Linked DNA regions of Elephas maximus indicus. The protein of the gene in region 1 interacts with the protein of each later gene in a pairwise test. Links are inferred from orthologs where the notes say so. Each region holds a gene or a part of one and is shown on either strand. Other genes may lie near its edges.

Region 1 (6,423 bases):
AAAAAAGGCATTTGCAATGAAGGAGTCATTGGTCTTGCAAAATTCAATCGTGTGATCTCTGGCATTGCTTCTATCACCAAGCCCATATTTTCCAACTACTGATCCTTCTTCTTTGTTTCCAACTTTTGCATTCCAATCACCAGTAATTATCGGTGCATCCAGATTGCATATTCCATCAATTTCAGACTGCAGAAGTTGGTTAAAATCTTCAATTTCTTCATCTTTGGCCTTAGTGGTTTGTGTAAATTTGAATAATAGTGGTATTAACTGGTCTTCCTTGAAGGTGTATGGGTACAATCTTATCAATGACACTGTTGTACTTCAGGATAGATCTTGAAATGTTCTTTTTGACAATGAATGCAATGCCATTCCTCTTCAAGTTGTCATTCCTGGCATAGTAGACCATATGATTGTCTGATTCAGAATGACCAATACCAGTTCATTTCAGCTCACTAATGTCTAGGATATTGATGTTTATGTGTTCCATTTCATTTTTGACGATTTCAAATTTTCCTAGGTTCATACTTCTTACATTCCAGGTGCCACATCAGCAAATGAAGGTCCCGAAAGCTTGACTCCATCCACGTCATTAAGGTCGACTCTACTTTGAGGTGGCAGCTCTTCCCCAGTCCCGTTTTAAGTGCCTTCCAACCTGATGGGCTCATCTTCCAGCACTATATCAGACAATGTTCCGCTGCTATTCATAAGGTTTTCACCGGCTAATTCTTTTCAGAAGTAGATCATTGGGTCCTTCTTCCTAGTCTGTCCTAGCCTGGAAGCTCAACTGAAATCTGTCTGCCATAGATGACCCTGCTGGTATTTCAATACCTATGGCATAGCTTCCAGCACCATGGCAATACACAAACCTGCACAGTACAACAAACTGACAGACGTGTGTGGGTACCACAAATGGGTGATTTTAACAAAGAGAAATTTATTCTCTCACAATCTAGAAGGCTAGAAGTCCAAATTCAGGATGCCAGCTCCAAGGGAAGGCTTTCTCTCTGTTGACTCTGAGGGAAGGTCATTGTCATCAATCTTCCCTGGTCAAGGAGCTGCTCAGCACAGGGACCCCGGGTCCAAAGGATACACTATTCTCCTGGCTCTTCCTTTTTGGTGGTATGAGGTCCCCTGTCTCTCTGCTTGCTTCTCTCTTTATAACTCAAAAGAGATTGACTTAAGACACAACCTAGATTGAGTCCTGCCTCATTAACATAACTGCCTCTAATCCTGCCTCATTAACATCAAAAAGGTAGGATTTACAACACATAGGAAAATCACATCAGATGACAAAATGGTGGACAATCACATAATACTGAGAATCACGGACTAGCCAAGTTGACACACATTTTCTGGGGGAACACAATTCAATCCATAACAGAATACAACCAAGGTGATGAGATCTACGTTATTATGTGTATGTGATTACATTATGTAAGATCATAATGCCTGTCTTGTGAGCACCTTGTTGTGAGCTTCCTATGGAGGGACCACATGGCAAGGAACTGAGGGCAGCCTCTGGCCAACAATCAGCAAGGAACTGAGGCCCTCGGTCCGACAACCTGCAAGGGACTGAATCATGCCAACATCCACATGTGCATGAAAGTGGATTCTTCTGCAGCTGAACCTCAGATGATACACCCTCCTCAGAACCCAGCAGAGAACCCAGTCTAGCTGTGTTGGGACTCCTGAACCACAGAAACTGTGAGATAATAAATGTGGGTTATTTTAAGCTATTAAGTTTGTGGTATTTTTTTGAATAGCAATAGAACCCAAACATAAGACCCATGTAGAATTCTACACAGATGTGAGAACATTATATATTCATAGGAAAAGAGCTCCAAGTTATATTACTTTTAGGAAAAACTAAACATGTAGAACAGTGGGGAGAGTGTGATAAAATTTGTATTTTAAAAATTTATACATGTATATATATTCATATATATAGAGAGAGGAAGAGAGGGAGACAGGTCTTGGCTGAAAGCAGAGAATATCAAAAAGATATTTACCTGTGTTTTATTGACTATGCAAAGGCATTGTACTGTATGGATCATAACAAATTATCAATAACATTGTGAAGAACAGGAATTCCAGAATGCAACATGACCAAGAGGCAGTCTTTCGAACAGAACAAGGAGATACTGCGTGGTTTAAAATCTGGAAAGGTGTATGTCAAGGTTGTACCTTTTCACTGTACTTTTTCAATCTGTACGTTAAGCAAATAATCTGAGAAGCTGGACTGTATGAAGAAGAATATGGCATCAGGATTGATGGACAACTCATTAACAACCTGTGACATACAGATGATACAACCTTGCTTGCTGAAAGCGAAGAGGACTTGAAGCGTTTACTGATGAAGATCAATGACTGCTGTAGCCATCAGTAGGGATTGCACCTATACAGAAAGAAAACAAAAATCCTCACAACTGGACCAACAGGAACATTACGATAAACAGAGAAAAGATTGAGTCATCAAGGATTTCATTTTACTTGGATACGCAATCAGCACCCATGGAAGCAGCAGTGAAGAAATCAAACAATGTATTGTATCAGACAAATTGGCTGTAAAAGACCTCTTTAAGGTGTTGAAAAGCAAAGATGTTACTTTGAGGACTAAGGTGTGTCTGACTCAAGCCATAATATTTTCAATCCAATCATATGCATGTGAAAGCTGGACAAAGAAGAAAGACCAAAGAAGAATTGATGCCTTTGAATTATGGTGTTGGTGGAGAATATCGAATATACTATGGACAGCTAGAAGAATGAACGAGTCTGTCTTGGAAGAAATATAGCCAGAATGCTCCTTAGAAGCAAGGATGGCAAGACTTCGTCTCATGTACTTTGAACGTGTTATCGGGTGTGACCAGTCCCTAGAGATGGACATCATGGTTGGTAAGGTAGAGCGTCAGCAAAGAAGAGGAAGACCGTCGATGAGGGTGACGGACACAGTGGCAGCAACAACGGTCTCAAACACAGCAATGATTGTGAGGATGGCACAGGACCAGGCAGGGTTTCGTTCTGTTGTGCATAGGATCGCTATGAGTCAGAAATGGCTCAATGGCACCTAACAACAACATAGAGAGAGACAGAGACAGAGTAAGGTAGGGGAGGGGGGGAGATAGCTTTTCCCTGAGAGAATTTGGTGCTGGCACACAAGTGTAGTATAAGATTCAATCTTTATTTTCCCTAGAGATTCCTTAAATAGAGTTTAAGCTTTTCAGGTCTCTTCAGTTATAATGTCCCAATTTTATACAGAGGCCCTATTGATGTGATGGTAAGATGTGGGAGGAGGGGAAGTAGCATATGATTATATGTTTAGGTCTCATTCTTTTAGTGGATCTGTGCCCCTGGGCTGTGACCTTCACAAGTGCTTCTCAGATTTTTTTTTTCACTCTGTAGGTGAGACAGGAAGGCTAGAGGGGGCTGGAGTTGGGTATTTCCTTTCCCGCATGTGGAAACCTATGTGGGGCTGGAGTTGGGTATTTCCCTTCCCCCATGTAGAAAGTTAGAGGGGGCTGGAGTTGGGTATTTCCTTTCCCCCATGTGGAAACCTATACGGGGCTGGAGTTGGGTATTTCCCTTCCCCCATGTGGAAAGTTAGAGGGGGCTGGAGTTGGGTATTTCCTTTCCCCCATGTGGAAACCTACAGGGGGCTGGAGTTGGGTATTTCTCTTCCCCCACGTGGAAAGTTAGAGGGGGCTGGAGTTGGTTATTTCCCTTCCCCCATGTGGAAAGTTAGAGGGGGCTGGAGTTGGATATTTCCCTTCCCCCATGTGGAAACCTAGAGGGGGCTGGAGTTGGGTATTTTCCTTCCCCCATGTGGAAACCCAGAGGGGGCTGGAGTTGGGTATTTCCCTTCCCCCATGCTGAAAGTTAGAGAGGGCTAGAGTTGGGTATTTCCTTTCCCGAATATGGAAAGTTAGAGGGGGCTGGAGTTGGACATTCCCCCATGTTGATTAGGCTCTGGCAAAATAGGTTTCCTTGAGGGCAGACCATTTGTTAAGGAGAACAGAATACTCTGGCCATTTTTCAAAATGGTTACTTTTCCCCTCCCCTTGCCGGAAGTTCAACGGAATTTCTCTCTGAGTTTCACAGTGAGAACCTGATGGGACTCCTGGAGGTACAACTTAGGAATGTATGGGGTCCTGCTAAAGCTGGGCCTCCAGGAGCTTTTATTCATTTATTTATTTTAACCTCTCAAGCTTGTCCACAGTCTCCAGCAATTAGTCAATTGCCCATTACGAGTTCCTACCTGATGCTAGGTAATGACCCACGTGCAGTCCAGCATGGTCACTGGGTGTGGTTCAGAAACCAAGAACAACAAGCCCAAGAAACTATCCTTGTGCCTGACCAGGGAAGGGGCCAACCCATGTCCAACACAATCCTTGGCCTAGAATACAAAGAATTGCTGCTCTCTCCCAAGCAGAAGGACCATGTGGATAATGGACACACTAAGCCAGGACTGGAGAGAGATGCTTTGTCTATGACAAATGGTCCAGAGCACGGGGCCAAGAGGTCAGGCCCTTGTCACAGCCTGTCTCTCACAAATTGTGGCCCTGGGCAGGACACCCAACACCTCTACAACCCTGCCTTCACAGGGGGCACAGGAAGGCTACACTAGAGGTGTTTGAGGCAGTGGGAAATCACTTAGCAGAGTTTTGGCTTCATACAATCGCCAGTGATTGTCTGAGTGCTTCAATTGCTGTTAACCAGACCATGCTCCCAGCAAATAAAGGAGGACTCAGGACATTCCCACCCTCCTGACACCCACTGCCCTCATGGGCCCCATGGACCCAGGCTGGGATCATAGCCCGGACTCCTACTCCTGTGGGACCACAGATTGCGATGGGACACTGAGGCCCAGGCCACCTATGAAGATTTACAGGCTGGACAACACCATGGCAAACGAACATTCCTAATGAGGTCTTGGAACTGGCTGGGACACCAACCAGGAAGGGGAAGGGCATCATGGAGCCTCTGGTGGGACAACACACAACACGGAGGAATATATAAAAGTCCCGGCAGCTCCGAGAACCTCACTCACTCACTCACTCCTCCTCCCACAACCTCCCCCCACCACCATGGCTGCTTCCACCACGTCTGTCTGCTCTAGCGACCTGAACTATGGCAGTGGCGTCTGCCTGCCTGGTTCCTGTGAGTCTTGCACTGGCCCCTCCTGGGAGGTGGATGACTACCCCGAGAGCTGCTGTGAGCCCCCCTGCTGCACCTCCACCTGCTGCCAGTCCACATGCTGTGCCCCCACCTGCTGTGCCCCAGCCCCCTGCCTGACCCTCGTCTGCACTCCTGTGAGCTGTGTGTCCAGCCCCTGCAGCCAGGCAGCCTGTGGGTCCAATCCCTGCCAATCAGTCTGCACTAGCTCCTGTGAATCCTCCTGCTGCCAACAGTCTAGCTGCCAGCCTGCATGCTGCATACCCTCCCCCTGCCAGCAGGCCTGCCGCATGTCTGTCTGCAGAAAGCCTATCTGCTGTGTGCCTGTCTGCTGCAAGCCTGTCTGCTCCAAGCCGGTCTGCTATGAGACCTCCCCCTGCCCGATTCCCTCGTGCTGCCAGCAGTCTAGCTGCCAGTCTGCATGCTGCACACCCTCCCCCTGCCAGCAGGCCTGCTGCGTGCCTGCCTGCTGCAAGCCCATCTGCTGTGTGCCCGTGTGCTGTGAGGCCACCCCCTGCCCAGCCTCCGCATACTGCCAGCCCTCTCTCTGCGCCTCCTCCTGCTGCAGACCCTCCTCCAGTGTGTCCCTCATCTGCCACCGCTTGTGCAAGCCAGCCTGCCGTGTGCCTACCTCCTCCTGCTGTGCCCCCACCTCCTCCTGTGTGTCCCTGCTCTGCCACCCTGTGTGCCCCCGCCCAGCCTGCTGTGGCCCCTCAACTGGCCAGAAGTCCTCCTGCTGACCAGACACTCCCCCCAGGGCCAGCTGGACTCCAGGCCCCACTGTGGCTATGCTCCTCACATCCACTCAGTCCTCGTCCTGATCTTGTTAGACAGCTGCCCTTGCCTGAGGATGGGACGCCTCCACATCTCCACTGTCCCTTTGTGACCTTTGCCCCCTGGCTCCCCAGGAACCCCCCAGCTGGCCTCAACTTCCAACCTGTCAGCACCTCTTAGGGCACCTGAATAAATTCACCTTGATCCCTTGATCTTTCCTGTCGTCAGACTCTCATGGTGGGGACACAGGGTTTTGACCAGACATTGGTCTTCCCCAGCCACAAACATTCTGTGAATGAGTGACTTACCTCAGAAATCACAGGGCACAGGCCTGAGTCCTCTGGGAGGGTACCTGGGACTCGGCACCACCCAGGAAGGCTCAGGTTCTGCTTGGCCCCCTGCCCAGCGCTCCCCCAAGCTGGTTGTTCACAGACCCGCCATGGTCCAGGAGGCTCTCCAGACCCCTGTAGAGCCCCTTTC
Region 2 (7,275 bases), on another chromosome or scaffold:
TATGTTTCAACAAACGGATGCAGCACTGGAGGTGCTCACTCGTCTATGCCAAGAGATTTGGAAGGCAGCTACCTGGCCAACCGCCTGGAAGAGGTCCACATCTGTGCCCATTCCAAAGAAACATGATGCAACAAAATGCAGAAATTATTGAACGATATCATTAATATCATAAACAAGTAAAATTTTGCTGAAAATAATTTAAATGCAGTTGCAGCAGTACATTGACAGGGGGCTGCCAGAAATTCAAGCTGGATTCAGAAGAGAAGGCGGAACCAGGGATATCGTTGCTGATGTCAGATGGATCTTGGCTGAAAGTGGAGAATACAAACAGATGTTTACCTGTGTTTTACTGACTATGCAAAGGTGTTCGACTGTGTGGATCATGACAAATTATGGATAACATTGTGAAGAATGGGAATTCCAGAACACTTAATTGTGCTCATGAGAAACTGTACATAGACCAAGAGGCAGTCATTTGAACAGAATAAGGAGATACTGTTTGGTTTAAAATCAGGAAAGTTGTGCATCAAAGTTGTATTCTTTCACCATACCTATTCAATCTATATGCTGAGCAAATAATCCAAGAAGCTGGACTATGTAAAAAAGAGCTCGGCATTAGGATTGGAGGAAGACTTACTAACAACCTTTGTTACACAGAGGACACAACCTTCCTTGCTGAAAGTGAAGAGGACTTGAAGCACTTACTGATGAAGATCAAAGACCACAGCCTTCAGTATGGATTACACCTCAACATAAAGAAAACAAAAATCCTCACAACTGGACCAATGAGCAACATCATGATAAACAGAAAATATTGAAGTTGTCAAGGATTTCATCTTACTTGGATCTGCAATCAACACCCATGGAAGCAGCAGTCAAGAAATCAAGACACGTTGTATTAGGCAAATCTGCAGCAAAAGACCTCTTTAAAGTGTTGAAAAGCAAAGATTTCACCTTGAAGACTAAGGTTCGCCTGACCCAAGCCATGGTGTTTTCAATCACCTCATGTGCATGTGAAAGCTGGACAATGAATGAGGAAGATCAAAGAAGAATTGACACCTTTGAATTGTGGTGTTGGCAAAGAATATTGAACATACCATGGACTGCCAAAAGAATGAACAGATCTGTCGTGGAAGAAGTGCAACCAGAATGTTCCTTAGAAGCAAGGATGGTGAAACTATGTCTCACATACTTTGGACATGTTATCAGGAGAGACGAGTCCCTGGAAAAGGATATCATGCTTCGTAAAGTGGTAAAGTAGGTCAGTGAAAAAGAGGAAGACCCTCAACAAGATGGATTGACACGGTGGCTGCAATAATGGGCTCAAGCATAACAAGGATTGTGAGGATGGCTAAGGATCGGGCAGTGTTTTGCTCTGTTGTACATAGGGTCACTCTGAGTCAGAATCGACTCAACGGCACCTAACCACAACAACAACAATATAAAGGGATGAAACACTGACACATGCTACAACATGGATGAACCTAGAAAACTGAGGGAAAAAAGCCAGTCACAAAAGAATACCTATCGTAGAATCCTATTTATATTAAATTTCTAAAAAGGCAAATCTCTGGAGACAGAAAGTAAAGCAGTGGTTGCCTGAGCATTGGGACAGGGGAGGTTGGGGAGAAATGGGCAGTGATTGATAATGGGTTGTTGTTGTTGTTGTTAGGTGCCCTTGAGTCACTTCTGACTCATAGCAACCCTGTGTACAACATAACAAAACAATACATGTTTGATCAATTTCAGACTACAGAAGTCTGTAAAAAAAAAACTTCCATTTCTTCATCTTTGGCCTCAGTGGTTGAGGCATAGATTTTAATAATAGTCATATTAACCAGTCTTCTTTGTAGGCATATGGATATTGTCATGGATTGAATTGTGTCCCCCAAAAATGTCTGTCAACTTGGCTAGGTCATGATTCCCTTGTATGATTATCTACCATTTTATCTTCCGATGTGGTTTCCCTAGGTGTTGTAAATCTTATCACTATGATGTAATAAGATGGATTATTGGCAGTTACATAGATGGGGTCTACAAGATTAGATAGTGTTTTAAGCCAATCTCTTTTGAGATATAAAGGAGAGAAGTGAGCAAAGAGATGGGGGACCTCATACCACCAAGAAAGCAGCACCGGGAGCAGAGCGCATCCTTTGGACCTGAGGTTACTGCGCTGAGATTCTCCCAGACCAAAGGAAGATTGATGACAAGGATCTTCCTCTAGAATCAACAGAGAGAAAAAGCCTTCCACTAGAGCTGACGCCTTGAATTTGAACTTGTAGCCTACTAGACACTGAGAGGATAAATTTCTTTGTTTAACCATCCCCTTGTGGTGTTTCTGTTATAGCAGCGCCGGATGGCTGGGAGAGATATCACGCCGTCACTGGCAGTGTTGTACTTCAGCATAGCTCTTGAAATGTTCTTTCTGATGATAAATGCAGCACCATTCCTCTTCACCTTGTCCTTCCTGGGACAGTAGACCATATGACCGTCCAATTCAGAGTGGCCGGTGTCAGTCCGGCTCAGCTTCCTAATGCCCAGGGTATCCGTGTTTACAAGCGCCGTTTCCTTTTTGACCAATTTTCCTAGATTCACACTTCGAACACTGCACCTTTAGATTATGAATGGATGTTTGCAGCTATTTCTTCTCATTTTGAGTCGTGCCGCATCAGCAAATGAAGGTCCCCAAAGCTTGACTCCATTTACACCATTAAGGTCGACTCTACTTCGAGGAGGCAGCTCTTCCCCAGCCGTCTTCTGAGTGCCTTCCAACCTGAGGGGCTCAGCTTCCAGCACTATATCAGACCATGTTCCGCTGCTATTCATAAGGTTTTCACTGGCCAATGCTTTTCAGAAGTAGACCACCAGGTCCTTCGTCCTAGTCTGTCTTCGCCTGGAAGTTCAGCCGAAATCTGTCTGCCGTGGGTGACCCTGCTGGTGTCTGAATACCGGTGGCATAGCTTCCAGCATCACAGCAACATGCAAGCCCCCACAGTACAACAAACTGACAGACACGTGCGGGATTCCTTTATATGGCTGAACAATATTCCATTGTACGGATGGACCATGTTGTGTTTATCCATTCATCAGTTAGTGGGCAATTGGGAGGTTTCTACTTTTGGCTACTATGAAAAATGCCGCTATGACCATTCTTGTACATGTTTTTGTGCGGACATGTATTTTTCTTCTCTCTTGGGTAGATACCTAGAAGTGGAATTGTTGGCTCCAACGGTAATTCTGTTTAACCATTGAGGAACTGCCAAAACTGTTTACACAGCAGCTAAACCATTTTACATTTCTTCAGCAATGTACTAGGGTTCCAATTATTCCACATCTCTGCCAACACTTGTTTGTTTCTGGGGTTTTCTTTGCTATTTTTTGTTTGTTTGCTTTCTTATTCTAGCCATTCTACGGATGTGATGTGGTATTTCATTGTGGTTTGATTTGCATTTCCCTGATGCCTTTTAGCCATCTATCTATCCTATTTGGAGAAATGTCTATTCAAATCATTTGCCCATTTTTTAATTGGGTTTTCTTTTTATTATCGAGTTGTAAGAATTCTTTATGTATTCTGGATATGAGTCCCTTATCAGATATAACTTGCAAATATTTTCTCTCACTCTGTAGGTTGTGTTTTCACTTTCCTAATGATGTTCCGGAAACCCTGGTGGTGTAGTGGTTAAGTGCTATGGCTGCTAACCTAAAGGTTGGCAGTCCAAATTCGCCAGGCGCTCCTTGGAAACTCTATGGGGGCAGTTCTACTCTGTCCTATAAGGTCGCTATGAGTCGGAATCAACTCGACGGCACGGGTTTTGGTAATGATGTTCTTATTTTATTTTATTGTGTTGAAAACAATACATAACAAAACATTCGCCCTCACAACCATTTCTACATGTACAATTTAGTAACATTGATTACATTCTCCAAGTTGTGCAGCCATTCTCGCTATCCTTTTCCAACTTGATGCTCCTCTTTTTTTTTTTTTTTTAGCGTTCTTTTTAAAATTGTGCTTTAAAAACAAATCCCCAAATTATAAGTGTCACAGCGCCAGTCCCCGCACACGTGGGCGCTGCGCCGCGGCAGGCTGTCGCCAGGGGGCGCGGCTGGCGCGCACCGCGCCCAAGCAACACTGCGCCTGCTCAGGGCCAGAGCGCGAGCCCGAGCGCGTCCCGCAGTCGAGCGCGCGCCTGCGTGTGCGCCTGCGCGGAGCGAGGCCGCGCCTCCCGCCGGGTCAGCTCGGCCGCCGGCCATGGGGGAGGCCGAGGTGGGCGGCGGCGGCTCCGCGGGCGACAAGGGCCCGGGAGAGGCGGCCACCAGCCCGGCAGAGGAGACAGTGGTGTGGAGTCCCGAAGTGGAGGTGTGCCTCTTCCACGCCATGCTGGGCCACAAGCCCGTTGGTGAGCGCGCCGGAGGCCGCGGACTCGCGTGGGGGCGGGGCGGCAGGGTAACCGTCGGGGGCCGGAGGGCGGGGCGGCGGCGGACCCACCCCACCGCGCGGACCCCCCCCACCGCGCGGACCCCCCCCCACCGCGCGGACCCTCCAAACCGCGTGAGCCCCCTCCCCACTGCACGGACCCCCCCAAACCGCGCGGACCCTTCCACCTAGCGGGCCCTCTCCACCCGGCCCCTCCCGCTCATCCCTGCCCTTTGCCACTGTGGATCCCCCCTTGTACCCCCCCACGGACCCCTTCCCCTCCTGTTCCCCCCATCTCTGTCCCCCCACCAGCCGTTGCTGTCCCAACCACAGACACCTGCTGGCTTCTCCTGTCCAGCCCGTGCCCCTTTCTTCTGCCCCCTTACCTGCTTCCCAACGCCTCTGGCAGGTGTGAACCGGCACTTCCACATGATTTGCATCCGGGACAAGTTCAGCCAGAACATAGGGCGGCAAGTCCCATCCAAGGTTATCTGGGACCACCTGAGCACTATGTATGACATGCAGGCACTGGTGAGCTTTGACCCCTGATCGTCCTGTGTATAGAATCAGAGCTCTTCATCCCAGACTGAGCTCAGACTTCCTTGCATGGGTAGCTGAGGACCCCCACAGGACAGGCCCGGCCCTCATGCAGTGGACAACAGGGCATTAAACAAGGGCTCTCTCGCAATAGGGCACCCAGTTTGTGGAAACCAAGCTTGCTGGTGGAAGCCAGTCCCTGGTGGGCCCTGGGGTGGGTCTTCCAGCACCAGGCACTCAAGTGCAGGCAGCGTAGCTACCTGGACTGCTAGCTGAGCTCAGGGAGAGGCAGCAGCATCGCTAGTCTGTGGGAAGTCCCGGCGTGCTGCAGGCAGGAAGGGGACCTCTGTGGCTTCTCATGGAGCCAGCAGAGCTCATAGCTGGCAGCCAAAGGGCGAGTGGGTTAACTAGGGAACCAGGACGGAGCTGCACTGGACAGGGCGGGGTTATCAGGTGACCAGGGGAGTGGGCACCTCTGCTGGTGCTGGGACCCACTGTGCCCCACGCACTGAGTTGGGTGCACCAGCCCCTGGCCAAGGCCTGGGCAGCACATCGGCGAGGCCGTGAACATATTGGCCTTTTTGGGTTCAGGTTCTGCTCTTCCACTCACTGCCGGTTGTCCTGGGCGAGTTCCCCTCTTCCTAGTTGTGAAGAAGGGAGGAAGATGGTAGCCATGCTGCTGTGGGCTGCTGTAGGCAGGGGTGTGAGTAGCCGGTCGTGGGCACAGGGGAAGCTTTAGTTGCTGTTACTGCAAGTGACTGAGCTTGGGCACTGGTCACTTATTCCTTGTTACTACTCTCTGGGTCAGTGGCAGGCCACACCCTGCCACTTCCAAATGACCTAGGGTGCCGAGGGGTCAGCAGTGCCCAGATTCTCCCCACTCAGCAGAGCACGGACTCAGCCAGGCTATGAAGGCCCCGGGCCTGCCCTCTCGACACCTGCCCTGTAACACCGTAGGGTGACCTGTGAAAGGTAGTGGGGGCACCAAGCCCCAACCCTGGGCTAGCAATGGTAAAAGCTGGGGCTCAGAGAAGCCTATGCAGCACAGTCCCTGTCCATGGCCCGCTCCTGAGGTGGGCTTGGCTCAGGATCACAGTCATGTGAAGTCAGGCCCGAGGCAGCCAGGCTGTAGAAACCGCCCCTGTGAGCTCAGGGGGATAGGGAGTGCCAGCCCCTCCCCTCCCTGCCTTATTCCTGTAATGGCTCCTTACGTCACTGGGGGAGGGAGACGTGGGGATGGTATCTGTTCTAGAACAAGGACCACACAGGCTGACTCCAAACCACCAGGACCCATCCCGGCAGATGGATTTCAAGGGCCCGGAGTCTGTGGGGTTTTTGGAGTGCACAGGTTTTGATTGGCACATGTAAGCCTGCAGGTGTGGGCAGGCTACCTGGCGGAACACAGCCCACCTCCCAGGTCAGCCAGGACTGTCCCACCAGCCCATCTTTCCCTCCCGTCTGGTGGTCCTGCCTTTCCAGGGTCTCTGTCCCTTCTGGGACCCATGGCCTAGAGGACAGGAGAGCCCCGATCAGAGTCCATTGGTGAGTGTGCTCTGCTGCTTTGCCTCCTTACCCCTGAGAGGCTTCACCCAGCTTCCCTGAGTGTCGCCCACGTGGACAGAGGTGGCAGCACTGTGTTCTGTCAGCCCCTCCCTGCCCTCTGCCCTGCACTCTGAGTCGGCTGTGGTCTGGCCAGCTCTTGGGTGAGCAAGCTGTGAGCCAGTTGTGCAGCACCTACAGCGTTGCCTCTGCCCTGGCTCTGGGAGTGTGTTAGTGGGTAGGCTGGGCCGCTCTGGGTGCTACTTGTCCCCACCCCCAGGACACTGGGTGTCTACATTCATTCGTTGCTCCTGCATACACTTTTAATGGCTGAAATCACATTTTCTTCATTTCTTAAAAAAACATTACACCCTCTCTGACGTCAGCATGAGTCCGAGATCCTCCCCTTTCCAAATCCAGAGAGGAACTTCGTCCTTCCAGAGGAAATCATCCAGGAGGTCCGAGAAGGTAAGACGCAGGCCACTGAAGTGGGGTTTGGAGACTAGTAAAAGGCGGGAGCTGGCTGAGGGCGGCAGCACTGGGTGAGGCCACGTGCCAGGGAGGACCAGGGTCTGGGAGGGGAGTGAATGGGTACTTAGGGGCCCCGCTCAGCCTGGACTTGGGGGCCAGGGGACTTCCACAATAGGAGAGGGTTCTTTCCTTGAAAAGCGGTGCGGTAGAATCCGTGTGCCGTCTGCAGCGTTGGCTGGCCTTGCCCTGGCTCTGCTGCTCACCGGGTGAGCCTCCCCCAAGCAGGGCCGTCGGTCTCCCTCCACAGGAAAAGT

What was found. The genes of interacting proteins can lie anywhere in the genome.
Region 2: the proteins of keratin-associated protein 10-12-like (region 1) and MRGBP interact in binary tests that used the Homo sapiens proteins (3 or more experiments, as listed by UniProt). The two-hybrid records come from large-scale screens. The link is inferred for Elephas maximus indicus from reciprocal best matches to the Homo sapiens genes KRTAP10-7 and MRGBP.

What each region holds. Positions count from the first base shown.
Region 1 is NC_064820.1:228,929,134-228,935,556, reverse strand, and holds keratin-associated protein 10-12-like, read left to right. Parts: upstream 1-5,081; coding exon 5,082-5,909; downstream 5,910-6,423. UniProt on the Homo sapiens protein: In the hair cortex, hair keratin intermediate filaments are embedded in an interfilamentous matrix, consisting of hair keratin-associated proteins (KRTAP), which are essential for the formation of a rigid and resistant hair shaft through their extensive disulfide bond cross-linking with abundant cysteine residues of hair keratins.
Region 2 is NC_064843.1:5,190,554-5,197,828, reverse strand, and holds the start of MRGBP (MRG/MORF4L-binding protein), read left to right. Parts: upstream 1-4,210; 5' UTR 4,211-4,249; coding exon 4,250-4,397; intron 4,398-4,823; coding exon 4,824-4,945; intron 4,946-6,876; coding exon 6,877-6,958; intron 6,959-7,268; coding exon 7,269-7,275.